Saccharomyces cerevisiae S288C: one gene and its partner. The protein of the gene in region 1 binds, or shares a complex with, the protein of each later gene. Each region holds a gene or a part of one and is shown on either strand. Other genes may lie near its edges. A codon is read from its position in the direction of its gene.

Region 1 (9,560 bases):
ATGGCTTGCTTAATAGCCGCTGGGTTGGCACCAACAACCTTTGCAACTTCCTTACCGTTCTTGAATAGAAGCAAAGTTGGCATAGCGGAAACTTCATTCTTTTGTGCAACATCACCCAATTCATCGACATCCAATTTATAGAAATCAGCTTGTGGGTATTGTTCAGAGAATTTTTCAATCATTGGAGCAATCATTTTACATGGACCGCACCAAGTGGCGTAGAAATCTACGACAACTAGCTTGTCTTGAGCAATTGCAGAGTCGAATTCGCTGGCAGTTTTGAATTGAGTAACCATTATTTGTATCGAGGTGTCTAGTCTTCTATTACACTAATGCAGTTTCAGGGTTTTGGAAACCACACTGTTTAAACAGTGTTCCTTAATCAAGGATACCTCTTTTTTTTTCCTTGGTTCCACTAATTCATCGGTTTTTTTTTTGGAAGACATCTTTTCCAACGAAAAGAATATACATATCGTTTAAGAGAAATTCTCCAAATTTGTAAAGAAGCGGACCCAGACTTAAGCCTAACCAGGCCAATTCAACAGACTGTCGGCAACTTCTTGTCTGGTCTTTCCATGGTAAGTGACAGTGCAGTAATAATATGAACCAATTTATTTTTCGTTACATAAAAATGCTTATAAAACTTTAACTAATAATTAGAGATTAAATCGCTTATTGCTTAGCGTTGGTAGCAGCAGTCAACTTAGCTTGTTCAACCAAGTTTTGTGGAGCATCGAAGACTGGCAACATGATTTCAATCATTCTGATCTTAGAGTTGTCGTTGAAAGACTTGTCTTGGGTCAACTTGTCCCATTCACCGGTGGTAGCGACTCTGTGGGTTTCATAGTCCTTAGCACCGAAAGTTGGCAACAAGGATAGGTGGTCCCAACCTTGAATTTCGTTGTATTGAGCCTTTGGACCGTGAATCAACTTTTCAATGGTGTAACCATCGTTGTTCAAGACGAACAAGTATGGCTTCAAGCCCCATCTGATCATGGTGGAGATTTCTTGAACAGTCAATTGCAAAGAACCGTCACCAATGAATAAGATAACTCTCTTCTTTGGATCAATTTCTTCAGCAGCGAAAGCAGCACCCAAGGTAGCACCAGTGGTGAAACCAATGGAACCCCATAAGACTTGAGAGATACCGTAGGTGTTGTTTGGGAAAGTGGTTTGGTTGATACCGAAAGCGGAGGTACCGGTTTCAGCAATGACAACATCACCTTCTTGCAAGAAGTTACCCAATTGGTTCCACATCCATTCTTGCTTCAATGGGGTAGAAGCTGGGACAGCAGCGTTAGCTGGAGTTCTAGCTGGGACAGCAACTGGCTTGTAACCCTTAGCGGCGTCAGCAATAGTGGTCAACAACTTTTGCAAAACGAATTTCATTTGGACACCTGGGAAAGTGGCGTTTCTGATCTTCATGTGGTCGGAGTGGAATTCGACAATGTTCTTGGTCTTGTAAGAGTAAGAGAAAGAACCGGTGTTGAAATCAGACAACAAAGCACCGACAGACAAAATCAAGTCAGCAGATTCAACGGCTTCCTTAACTTCTGGCTTGGACAAGGTACCGACGTAAACACCACCGTATCTTGGGTGTTGTTCGTCAATGGAACCCTTACCCATTGGGGTGACGAAAGCTGGGAATTGAGTCAAGTCAATCAACTTCTTAGTTTCAGCCTTGACGTCGTGTCTGGAACAACAAGCATCAGCCAAGATAACTGGGTTCTTAGCATCCTTGACCAAAGCCAAGATGGTGTCAATGACTTCCTTTTCGGATTCAGCATCGTTTGGCTTCAAAGACATGTCAATTGGAGTTTGCAACAACTTAGCTGGGACGTTCAAGTCGACCAAGTTAGCTGGCAAACCTAAGTAGACTGGTCTTTGGGTGACGTAAGTGGTTCTGATACATCTGTCAATTTCAGCTGGGGCGGTAGCAATGTCAGTGATCATAGCAGTGGTTTCAGAAATGTTGGCAGACATTCTGTGGAAAACAGTGAAGTCACCGTTACCCAAGGTGTGGTGCAACAACAATTGCTTAGCTTGAGCAGAGATGGATGGGACACCAACAACGTGCAAAACACCGACGTGTTCAGCGTAAGAACCGGCAATACCGTTCAAAGCAGACAATTCACCGACACCGAAGGTGGTGATGATACAAGACATACCCTTGATACGAGCGTAACCATCAGCGGCGTAAGCAGCGTTCAATTCGTTGGCGTTACCAGCCCATCTCATACCTTCAACTTCGTAGATCTTGTCCAACAAGGACAAGTTGAAGTCACCTGGCAAACCGAAAACGGTGTTAACGTTGACTTGCTTTAATCTTTCGAACAAATATTTACCCAAAGTAATTTCAGACATTTTGATTGATTTGACTGTGTTATTTTGCGTGAGGTTATGAGTAGAAAATAATAATTGAGAAAGGAATATGACAAGAAATATGAAAATAAAGGGAACAAACCCAAATCTGATTGCAAGGAGAGTGAAAGAGCCTTGTTTATATATTTTTTTTTCCTATGTTCAACGAGGACAGCTAGGTTTATGCAAAAATGTGCCATCACCATAAGCTGATTCAAATGAGCTAAAAAAAAAATAGTTAGAAAATAAGGTGGTGTTGAACGATAGCAAGTAGATCAAGACACCGTCTAACAGAAAAAGGGGCAGCGGACAATATTATGCAATTATGAAGAAAAGTACTCAAAGGGTCGGAAAAATATTCAAACGATATTTGCATAAAATCCTCAATTGATTGATTATTCCATAGTAAAATACCGTAACAACACAAAATTGTTCTCAAATTCATAAATTATTCATTTTTTCCACGAGCCTCATCACACGAAAAGTCAGAAGAGCATACATAATCTTTTAAATGCATAGGTTATGCATTTTGCAAATGCCACCAGGCAACAAAAATATGCGTTTAGCGGGCGGAATCGGGAAGGAAGCCGGAACCACCAAAAACTGGAAGCTACGTTTTTAAGGAAGGTATGGGTGCAGTGTGCTTATCTCAAGAAATATTAGTTATGATATAAGGTGTTGAAGTTTAGAGATAGGTAAATAAACGCGGGGTGTGTTTATTACATGAAGAAGAAGTTAGTTTCTGCCTTGCTTGTTTATCTTGCACATCACATCAGCGGAACATATGCTCACCCAGTCGCATGTTGTTACCCTCATGAAACATGTATGAGATATTACTTTGAATAGGTTACTTGCATGCATTTCGGCGTGCGGGTACCACCTCTTTGCATGAGCTTGTTCCTTTTTCAAGTTGAAGACTATATATTTTATTGAGTTTATGTTATGGGGAGGCTACCCTTTACGTCCTGGTTGTCCCTTCCCGCCTTGATTTGGCCTTCATTTTTTCAATTCTGGCCTTTAGGGTAGATGTCACTGCAGCGGCACGTTTATAACTTTCTTCTGAGGCAAAACTATCGTTGAAATCGATATCCAAATCGTCGGAGACACTGCTCACTCCAGTGCCGTTTTTTCTGTACGGCCGTATGTTAAGAGAGTTTACGCGGTGCGGCAGGTCGCCGATGGACTCGCTTGATCTTCTTTCATAGTTGACGTCCTCTTTCCTTCTGACATCTTCCTCCTCCTTAAATGGCAAAGCGGAAGATAAAGATTTTACCCCATAGTTGCTTGACACGGTGGAAGAAGGTATGGAGTATGATGAAATCGTACCCATCGATTGCAAGTTTGTATCATTTCTTTTCTTATTTCTATCCAATTCGATCTCCATGTTTCTAAGCTCGTTTTCTAGTGACAGTACTCTATCAGACAGCTTATTGACATCAATCTCCTTGGATCTTAATTGAATGTTCTTTTCGTTCAATTTAGACTGCGCTTCCTTTAGTTGCTCTCTTAGCATTTCGTTTTCTTTAATCATTTCGATCTTATAATTTTCTGTATTATTCATCTTTTCCAATAGGCTTTGTCTTTCTTTGGTCCATATCATCTCATCATTTTGTAGTTTTTGCAGTCTGTACTTGTATTCTTCAATCAACTTTTCATTCTTGTCAGTGCTATTAGCTACTACGTTTTTTGGCGTTGCCAAAGACTTAGACGTCAACAGGACCCTCGATTTATTGTTAGCAGCTACCATTGATGGTTTTGATGCGGAGGCTACTGACCCTATTGGGTTCACTTTACTTTTGTTATCATTTCTCAGCGGTGAAGATGCCACTCTCTTGGAGGGAAGTACAGAACTTTTTTTCAGGAGAAATTTATTCTCCATTGGCCCAGTTTGTTTATTCGTTTCAATAGTGCTATGGGTACTACCACTTGCAATACTGAAATTAGGTAGAGTTTTGACCGTTTCTTCAATTTTTTTCCTTTTCAAATTATCCAAGTGCTCTAATGTTTTCACAAAGGTATTCATGCCAAATATTTTAATTAGAATGGCGAAACTCTCAAATCCAATAGTTCTTATAGCAGGTTGGGTGTCGTTGACGATCTGAATCACAATTGGTACCACTTCATCCTTCAAGTATCTTTGCAGGGTCGAGTATCCATCTTTTTCTTCTTTCATGCTTGCATTAAACAATTGCGTACACTCCATTCTGATTTGAGGTGTCTTGTGCTTCATATGCTCCAAAATATCTTTCAACATATCTTCATTGCGTCCACTGGAGGCTAATGGATCGTAATACTTGCAGATGGTTAATAATGCCTTCCTAATGGCCTCTATCACAGAAGGTTTCTTTTCCTTTGTCCTGTCTAACAAGGGAGTGAAGACTAGTGAAACATAATCCTTGGAAAAGCCTGGTGTTTTTAGTTTGTCGCAGATTAATTCTACTGATTGAGCGGCTAGTGCAACAGCTTGAATGTTTGCATCTTTCTGGATAATATGGCCATATATCCCCAATAAGTTGGAATAATTTTGCGAGGTGCTTTTTAACTTCTTAGTCTGCGATAGAACACTATCCCAAAATTCTTCCAGCGCTTCCACTCTATCTTTCCATTTGGACGACGTTATCCTTTCCTGGAAGTCCTTAGGCAGTTTATCGAGGATCGTCTCCTCCGGTAGCATACTGAAGGTGTCTATTTGAACTCCACTTTGCTGTTTTGATGGTGGCATATCCGTTTCCATCCCCATCAATGTATCTCCATCCTTATCTATCTGATATTCCCCCTCATCATTCGATAATATGGACTTTCTTTTCCTGGCTTCCTCCTCTTGGCTTCTTTTCTTTTCCAATTCTCTTTTCTCCCACTCGAATAACATTTTCGATGACGATGGCTCGTCACCAACTTTTGCAAACAATTTATGAAGATCTTTCACTTGAATTGGTTTTAATTTTTTAAACAGTATCTCCTCTAACAAGTCGCTATTGTTGCCCGTAACCTTATAGATCTCGACAATCAAATTCATCGTTTGTGATCGAACGTTTCTATCACCATGACCGGCTAGTTGAGGTACGTGCTTTAATAATTCTGGTAGAAACGTTTGAACGTTCACATTAGTGAGCCCGAATGCAGCCATCAACTCATAAACACAATTGGCTGCCGCAGCAATTAATTTTGGCAGTTTTTTCTCGAAAAAGGGTATTACCAATTCCACCGATTGCGTAATAGATGTATCAAGACCACATAGTGAGAGTATACAGCTCATCGACTGCGTCTTCGTTGTAGCCCTTGAGGACGTTAAGCCCTTTTCCACAAGCAATGGTGTCCATGTTGATATTAAAGTAATATTATGTGCATTTTTCAAAGACGATGACGCAAAGGCATCTATTAAACTATTCAAGGCAACAATGGCTTGTTCTTGAGCGACCACATTAGAATCAGTTATATATTGTGCAAATAATGTAGGATCCCTCCAGTAAATTTGTATGTTGTCATCCCTACTGATGTCGCCAACGGAGTTTCTAAAAAGCTGGTTTAACTCCTTATAAGCTTCTAAACGTGCCTTCCATAACTTGTACGTTAATCGCTCTTCTAGGGGTAACGTTGTATAATCTACTTCTTCTTCTCCTGACATAGTCAACTTCAAACTCTTTAATAAAAACTCAAAAATACTTTACACTGTAAAGATAGCTGTTTCTTTGTAGTTTAGTAATGCTATTTGGTCCCTAGGTCTGGTAGGTTCTTCATTTACTCTTCCTATGGAGTGTCAAGCAGACAAAACAAAAACAAAAACAAAAACAAAAACGACACGAAAAAAAATAGATTCGTTAACCATGATAATCTTTGCACCATATAAAGGAAAAGACAAGATTGACTTCTAATGCCCAGCACAAATATTATCCAACTATTTAATTAATAAATTTTTGACTACTTAATCTTCAGACACAGATTCCTTGTCTAATAATTTGTTTAATTGAATATTGACAGATTTATCCTGCAGCTTGAACAAATTTCTTGCGCGAAAGGTTGCTAGGAAAATCAAAGGTAGTAAAAACATTAGAACTGTATCGAAAACGTAAAGGCACCATTCGTGCTGACCTATATAGCTTTGTAAGCCCATTAGAAATTGTACTACTCTGACAATGGTTCTACCATTAACCAGCAATATCCCAGCTAAAAGTATAAAATTGTACTGGAACCATTCATTACTATCCCGCACAATTTTACTAGGCGTTGCCTTCATTTTATAGTGAAGAAAAAGTTGACTGAACGTTAAAAAGGTATAACAAAATATCTGAATGAAAAGACCCACAATAATTAGGATACGCCCAGTATTCCTGCTGTTCCATGAGGATAACAACCCACCTCCTACAGCCTGTAGGACACGCCCAATCATATCTGCCACTACGAAAGAAACTGTACTAAATTTCGCAGGAATTAACATATATGCCTCCATAAGAATTAGACGTGCCATTTTGCTGAACAACATAAAAATACTAAGGGCGTAAAGTGAAGGTGCTATCAATAGAAGCACCGATTGAGCAATGAAAGTCGAAATCGAGGGGCTATTGATAAAGACTATTTTCAACACATAACCCACGAACTCTAAACAAATCCCTAAAACGAAAGGAAAATGTGTCCACATCAAACCGCGGGCAGGAAAGTATATTATTGTGGAATTTTCCTCTGACAACTCATTGTTTTCCCAGCGATGAATACGTCTCTTGCTCGTGTGTGTTGCCATTATGATCTGCACCAAGGCAGAAAGGATTAAAATGCCAAACAGAACGACAAATGCAATCGCTGCACCTTTGTGAGGATTGTATGCATAAAAACCTTCATAATCAGTGATTGCTTTAGTAAAAAAATTCCTATTGAGGCAGTTGAGTTCTTTTATCGACAATAAGTCTCTAGTACAGTAGTGAGAGTGTCATGTATTCAGTACCAAGAAGAACTTATATGCCTTTTATAATTCATCTTATAAGTTGCTAGACATACAAATAATCAATATGGAAATGTGCTTATTCCCGCTAATATCCATTAATATCCGCTGTCATTTTTCGCAACTATCACCAAGTGGAGAGAGGCTTGACAACCACCAGAAAAAAACTAAATCAGCCTGCGGAACTTTTCTCGGAAAAAATCAGTTAGAAAAGATCGTACATAGGGCCCTTTTTTGACAGTAAGATTAAAGAGCAAAACGGGACATTATAGATATGCCACCATCAAATACGTGAATTTTCCAAGCCTCATAAACTAATAGCCAACTTGCAACTCTTATAATGCAAAACTTTCTCCGTGAAAGTGTAAACCACCATCTGTCGCCCATCTTTTGGTGCTTTCAATTAAGCCTCTAGGGCCTGCAGCGAGAACCCATACTTGTGACAAATATTCAGCATGGTCTCTGCCTTGATTCGCCCACCTGCAACATTGAATAGAATCCGTCTCTGCATCACATTCGGTTTGCAGACACCATTCATAATCCTTATCTCCAAGTGTAGGCCTGCCAAAGAACACTTTAACACCTGCGGGAATTCTGATCTTTTTAGGCGCCGCCTCTAAACAAGGATCTTGGGCAGGTGGCTCAATGATCTTTGGTTGTCTGAAAACGCTCGATCCGTTAAACGAAGAATGTGTAGTTAGAGTTCCTTGTGCAGTATTTTTCCTTGATTTGGATCTGCTAAAAGCATATGTAAAATCTATCTCGTCATCAGCATTGATGTCAGGTATATCACTTGTTTTTGGTGGGTGATGGTTTCTCAAGGTAGATTTCTTACTTAGAAGGGCTGTGTTCTCATTGGGCTCCGTAGGTTGGGGATTTCCATCTGATAACATGGAATTATCTCCCAGTTCTGAAACTCGGCCGCTCGAAGAAATACTCCTGACTTCATCATTAATATCAGCAGCGCAGTCATGATAGTCAATATAATCAATTTCTATGTCCTGTTCGTTGCCTTCGGTGCCACTAATATATATCTCCATACCTTCAAAATTGTTTTTGAAGTGGTTCAATACTTCCAGATCCTTATAATCTCTAGAAACCCAAAGGAGCCTAACGTTTACACCGTTGAAGTTTAGAATACGAAGTAGTGGTAAGCCAAAGGAAATTCCTGAACCTCCAACACACATAAACACTCTTTGCGCTTTAATTAGAAAATTTAAAGGCGAATTTATTAGTGCAGAAGAATTGTTTCGAAATGGATTCTTGGAAGATTTCGTGGTAATATTAAAAGGAACAGTAGGTTTAGAAATGAAACTCAACTCAGGTTCAAAAGCCCCTGTAATGTAATACTTTTCATTTGTACGCAATGGAAAATGCCCGTTTCTAATAATTAACCTGACCAAATTATCACTTGGAATACTAGCAATAGTAAAAGGATGTTGGAAGGGTATCAAATGGGAGAAAAACCTCCTTAAAAAATTTCTATGGTAAATGTTGATCCTTAGATGCCCTCCTGGTAGGATGGGCTTTTTGGGTAAATCGGTTAATGGGAACTCCAAAAGAGACAATGATGAAGAAATGGGTACTATCGTAACTCTCGTAACATTGGTGATATGGAGCCTATAGACGATTTGTCCCGTTAATATGAGCACATTTAAAGTGGTATAATATGAAATTCCTGGGCGAGCGTGATAATGTAGAAACACCAAAATAAGCCATGTGCTTACATAGTGAACATAGTAAAAAACTCTGTAGCTCCATCGTCTGGCATATCTCACAGAGGTGATGGCAATCAGTAGGAAAAGGCCGAGGGCAATAACCCCATAAATGTTGGGTAGTTTTCTCATTTTCACGTATAACGTATCATTAATGTACATGTAATAGAGATAGAACCACGTGTGTAGAATAGATTCAAGCACAACAATTCTGGAAATCCATTTGTGGAGAGGTAACAATGCTAAGTATAACGTGTGAGGTAACGGTGATGGCCTCAACGTTAGAAATAGTAAAGGTGGCATCAAAGCAACGGAAATTCTCCCCATTCGCTTAGTAATTTCTAACAGATCTCCGTTAGCGCCTTGTATAACAAAAAACGAGGTGAAAACAAAGCATATTAAACATAGTTGTAGTGACTGTTTGTGATACATATGTGTTTTGTGAACCCATGATCTTCTGTTGAAAACATGATGCTTTAAATGGTGACATATTTTGAAGAATTTGTCAGTTAGCAACAAATAATTCATTAAGGGTATAATAACACATATTA
Region 2 (4,211 bases), on another chromosome or scaffold:
AAGCTGGTGGTATCTTTTGTAAAAGCTGGTGGCTATAATCGACGACACCTATCTTTTTACCAATATCTTCACGGAGAGGCTAAAATCAACGTCGTTATTCTTAAAGTTTTCCATTTTCTTGAAATTAAAAAGAAAAAAAACCGAAATAATGAAAAATTCGGGGTTAGCCTTTGCCAAAGTGTACCCACCCACAATTTACCCAGAATTTTTATTCATGCAACCCCAGATCACTGAATACGAAATGTATATCATTTTTCACGCGGGGTTCCAACTATGGCGGCTAGATGATGAAGGAATAACAAGCAACGTACTGCTAAATAAAAGGACTGAAGCAGCGTATTGTTGATAATCAGACCTATGCTTGGTACAAAATTGTAATGGAATTATGGAAATCACAATATAAAACACAGTTTTTTGTTCATGATTAGTTCTCAACAAAATTCTGGGGAAACAGGTAGAATACCATAAGCACCGCTTCCACAATCATCAACATGTTGTAATCTTCTTTCTTTGGAAGCAGCAGTCCTTTATTACTTTTCTTTTAGTAAATCCCTGATCTGCGTAATATTGCAAGTTCTTTTTTATCGGCCTCCTTATATATATATATATATATATATATATCTATATTCACTAATACTCGGGGTGTTTTTTTTTTTTTTAGCCGCTGAAGTGAGGATCAAAAATCAATAGCTCGGAAGGTTAAAGGTTGTTAAGATAGTATATACATATATATGTACATATACATATACATATATATATTTTGAATTACATACTTCAGTAGGGAATGGTATAAATTTTTTCGTACGGTAATATTTTAAAGATATTTAATTAGTTTTTTTGATTTTTGTTTATTTTGCTCCAAGTGCTTCAATCCTAGAGAAGAAGAAAGGTAAGAAAAAGAAAGGAAAGCAACTTAATTATTCAAAATTCTCAGTGATTGGTTCATCTTGGTTTTGTGGAGCACCAAAATCGCCATTTTCGTCGACTTCTTCATCATCTTCTACAGTAGCCTCTTGGTATTGTTGGTATTCGCTAACCAGATCATTCATATTAGATTCAGCCTCAGAGAATTCCAATTCGTCCATACCTTCACTAGTATACCAGTGCAAGAAAGCTTTTCTTTTGAACATAGCGGAAAATTGGTCACCAACTCTCTTGAATAGCTCTTGAATAGATGTGGAGTTAGCAATGAAAGTAGCAGCCATGTCCAAACCTTGAGGAGCGACAGAACACACAGCAGTTTGCACATTGTTGGGGATCCATTCCACGAAATAGTCTGAGTTTTTAGATTGCACTTTATGCATTTCATCTTCCACCTCCTTAACGGAAACTTTACCTCTAAAGAAGGCTGCAACGGTAAGGTATCTACCGTTTCTTGGATCGGCAGCAGCCATCATGTTCTTGGCATCAAACATTTGCTGTGTTAATTCAGGGACAGTCAAAGATCTAAATGATTGAGAGCCAATTGCCGTCAATGGAGCGTAGCCGACCATGAAGAAATGTAAACGTGGGAATGGGACAAGATTAACAGCCAACTTTCTCAAATCAGAGTTCAATTGGCCGGGATAACGCAATGAAGTTGTCACACCAGACATGACGCTCGAGACCAAGTTGTTCAAATCTCCATAAGAAGGTTGATTCAACTTTAAGGTCCTTTGACAGATGTCATAAAGTGCTTCGTTATCGATACAGAATGTTTCATCAGAGTGTTCTACCAATTGGTGCACAGACAACGTGGCATTGTATGGTTCGACAACGGTGTCAGAAGTCTTCGGAGAGGGCAAGACGGAGAAGGTGGCCATCATACGATCAGGAAACTCTTCCCTAATCTTCGAGATCAAAAGCGTACCCATACCGGAACCGGTACCACCACCAAGAGAATGTGTGATCTGGAAACCTTGAAGGGAGTCGCATCCTTCGGCCTCTCGTCTAATAACATCCATGACGCTGTCTACAAGCTCAGCACCTTCTGTGTAGTGACCCTTGGCCCACACGTTGCCCGCAGAACTTTGCCCAAAGATATAATTGTCAGGTCTAAACAAATTCCCGATGGCAGAATTGCGTACTGCGTCAATCGTCCCAGGTTCTAGATCGACGTTAATAGATCTTGGAACCCACTTCCCAGAAGATGCCTCGTTGAAGTACACGTTCAGTCTCTCCTTCTGGATATCGTCATGGCCGTGATATGTCCCATTGAAATCCAAACCGTGCTCACCACAGATAGTTTCCCAGAATGCAGCACCAATTTGGTTACCACACTGACCTGTCGAGATATGAATGATTTCTCTCATTATATTACTTTGTGGAGATTTTGCTTTTGTAGTTGTAGTAGCTGCTATGTCACTCCAATTGCCTCACCACTACTTCACTTAGATCTATTAAAGTTTTCGTGTTTGTTTTAGTTTTTGTTGTTTTTTCTGTTTTTTTCCTTTTTCCTTGTGGCGTCGCCTAGGTCACTGTACACGTATATCGTGACCCGGCGCCAAATTCCTGATAGTACTATTTTTTTTGGCCCATGGGGGGAATAAAGAAAAAGAAGAGAAGCCAGAACAAATTCAGCGATTAAGTGCACCAGTTTTGAGGAGGATATCTTTACTGTTAGGCCCAGGTTGAAATAAATAAAACAAGAAAAGCACTAATATGAATAGCGAGTACGATTACCTGTTCAAACTGCTGTTGATCGGGAATTCCGGTGTCGGGAAGTCCTGTTTACTTTTGAGGTTTTCGGACGACACATATACCAACGACTACATCTCCACAATTGGAGTGGACTTCAAGATTAAGACTGTAGAACTGGACGGCAAGACTGTAAAGCTACAGATTTGGGACACTGCAGGTCAAGAACGTTTCCGTACTATCACTTCATCTTACTACCGTGGTTCGCATGGGATCATTATCGTGTATGATGTCACTGACCAAGAATCCTTCAACGGCGTGAAGATGTGGCTGCAAGAGATTGATCGGTATGCAACCTCAACAGTGTTGAAGCTATTGGTAGGTAACAAGTGTGATTTAAAGGACAAGCGTGTCGTGGAATATGACGTGGCAAAGGAATTTGCGGACGCGAATAAGATGCCGTTCTTAGAGACTAGTGCTTTGGACTCCACCAACGTCGAGGATGCGTTTTTAACCATGGCTAGACAAATCAAGGAAAGTATGTCCCAACAAAACCTGAACGAAACCACTCAGAAGAAGGAAGACAAAGGGAACGTCAACCTGAAGGGACAGAGTTTAACCAACACCGGTGGGGGCTGCTGTTGAACAAGCGCGCCTCTACCTTGCAGACCCATATAATATAATAACTAAATAAGTAAATAAGACACACGCGAGAACATATATACACAATTACAGTAACAATAACAAGAGGACAGATACTACCAAAATGTGTGGGGAAGCGGGTAAGCTGCCACAGCAATTAATGCACAACATTTAACCTACATTCTTCCTTATCGGATCCTCAAAACCCTTAAAAACATATGCCTCACCCTAACATATTTTCCAATTAACCCTCAATATTTCTCTGTCACCCGGCCTCTATTTTCCATTTTCTTCTTTACCCGCCACGCGTTTTTTTCTTTCAAATTTTTTTCTTCCTTCTTCTTTTTCTTCCACGTCCTCTTGCATAAATAAATAAACCGTTTTGAAACCAAACTCGCCTCTCTCTCTCCTTTTTGAAATATTTTTGGGTTTGTTTGATCCTTTCCTTCCCAATCTCTCTTGTTTAATATATATTCATTTATATCACGCTCTCTTTTTATCTTCCTTTTTTTCCTCTCTCTTGTATTCTTCCTTCCCCTTTCTACTCAAACCAAGAAGAAAAAGAAAAGGTCAATCTTTGTTAAAGAATAGGATCTTCTACTACATCAGCTTTTAGATTTTTCACGCTTACTGCTTTTTTCTTCCCAAGATCGAAAATTTACTGAATTAACAATGGATTCTGGTATGTTCTAGCGCTTGCACCATCCCATTTAACTGTAAGAAGAATTGCACGGTCCCAATTGCTCGAGAGATTTCTCTTTTACCTTTTTTTACTATTTTTCACTCTCCCATAACCTCCTATATTGACTGATCTGTAATAACCACGATATTATTGGAATAAATAGGGGCTTGAAATTTGGAAAAAAAAAAAAAACTGAAATATTTTCGTGATAAGTGATAGTGATATTCTTCTTTTATTTGCTACTGTTACTAAGTCTCATGTACTAACATCG

Evidence for each region. The genes of interacting proteins can lie anywhere in the genome.
Region 2: the proteins of STU2 (region 1) and TUB2 are in contact, whole or in part, in a crystal structure (PDB 4U3J), measured with the Saccharomyces cerevisiae proteins. Residues at the interface, in NP_013146.1 of Saccharomyces cerevisiae: Ser339 (codon at 4,972), Trp341 (codon at 4,966), Arg344 (codon at 4,957), Ala384 (codon at 4,837), Asn385 (codon at 4,834), Ile386 (codon at 4,831), Gln387 (codon at 4,828), Lys425 (codon at 4,714), Lys427 (codon at 4,708), Lys428 (codon at 4,705), Lys469 (codon at 4,582), Thr470 (codon at 4,579), Pro471 (codon at 4,576); in NP_116616.1 of Saccharomyces cerevisiae: Tyr106 (codon at 1,976), Thr107 (codon at 1,973), Glu108 (codon at 1,970), Ala110 (codon at 1,964), Glu111 (codon at 1,961), Asp114 (codon at 1,952), Lys154 (codon at 1,832), Glu157 (codon at 1,823), Pro160 (codon at 1,814), His195 (codon at 1,709), Ser400 (codon at 1,094), Glu401 (codon at 1,091), Gly402 (codon at 1,088), Glu407 (codon at 1,073).

The regions. Positions count from the first base shown.
Region 1 is NC_001144.5:231,718-241,277, forward strand, and holds STU2 (Stu2p), read right to left. Parts: upstream 5,987-9,560; coding exon 3,320-5,986; downstream 1-3,319. Other genes in the region: thioredoxin TRX1, read right to left, coding at 1-296; PDC1 (indolepyruvate decarboxylase 1), read right to left, coding at 673-2,364; YLR046C (uncharacterized protein), read right to left, coding at 6,284-7,096; FRE8 (putative ferric-chelate reductase), read right to left, coding at 7,630-9,560.
Region 2 is NC_001138.5:54,416-58,626, reverse strand, and holds TUB2 (beta-tubulin), read right to left. Parts: upstream 2,292-4,211; coding exon 918-2,291; downstream 1-917. Other genes in the region: Rab family GTPase YPT1, read left to right, coding at 2,641-3,261; ACT1 (actin), read left to right, coding at 3,931-3,940. UniProt on the Saccharomyces cerevisiae protein: Tubulin is the major constituent of microtubules, a cylinder consisting of laterally associated linear protofilaments composed of alpha- and beta-tubulin heterodimers.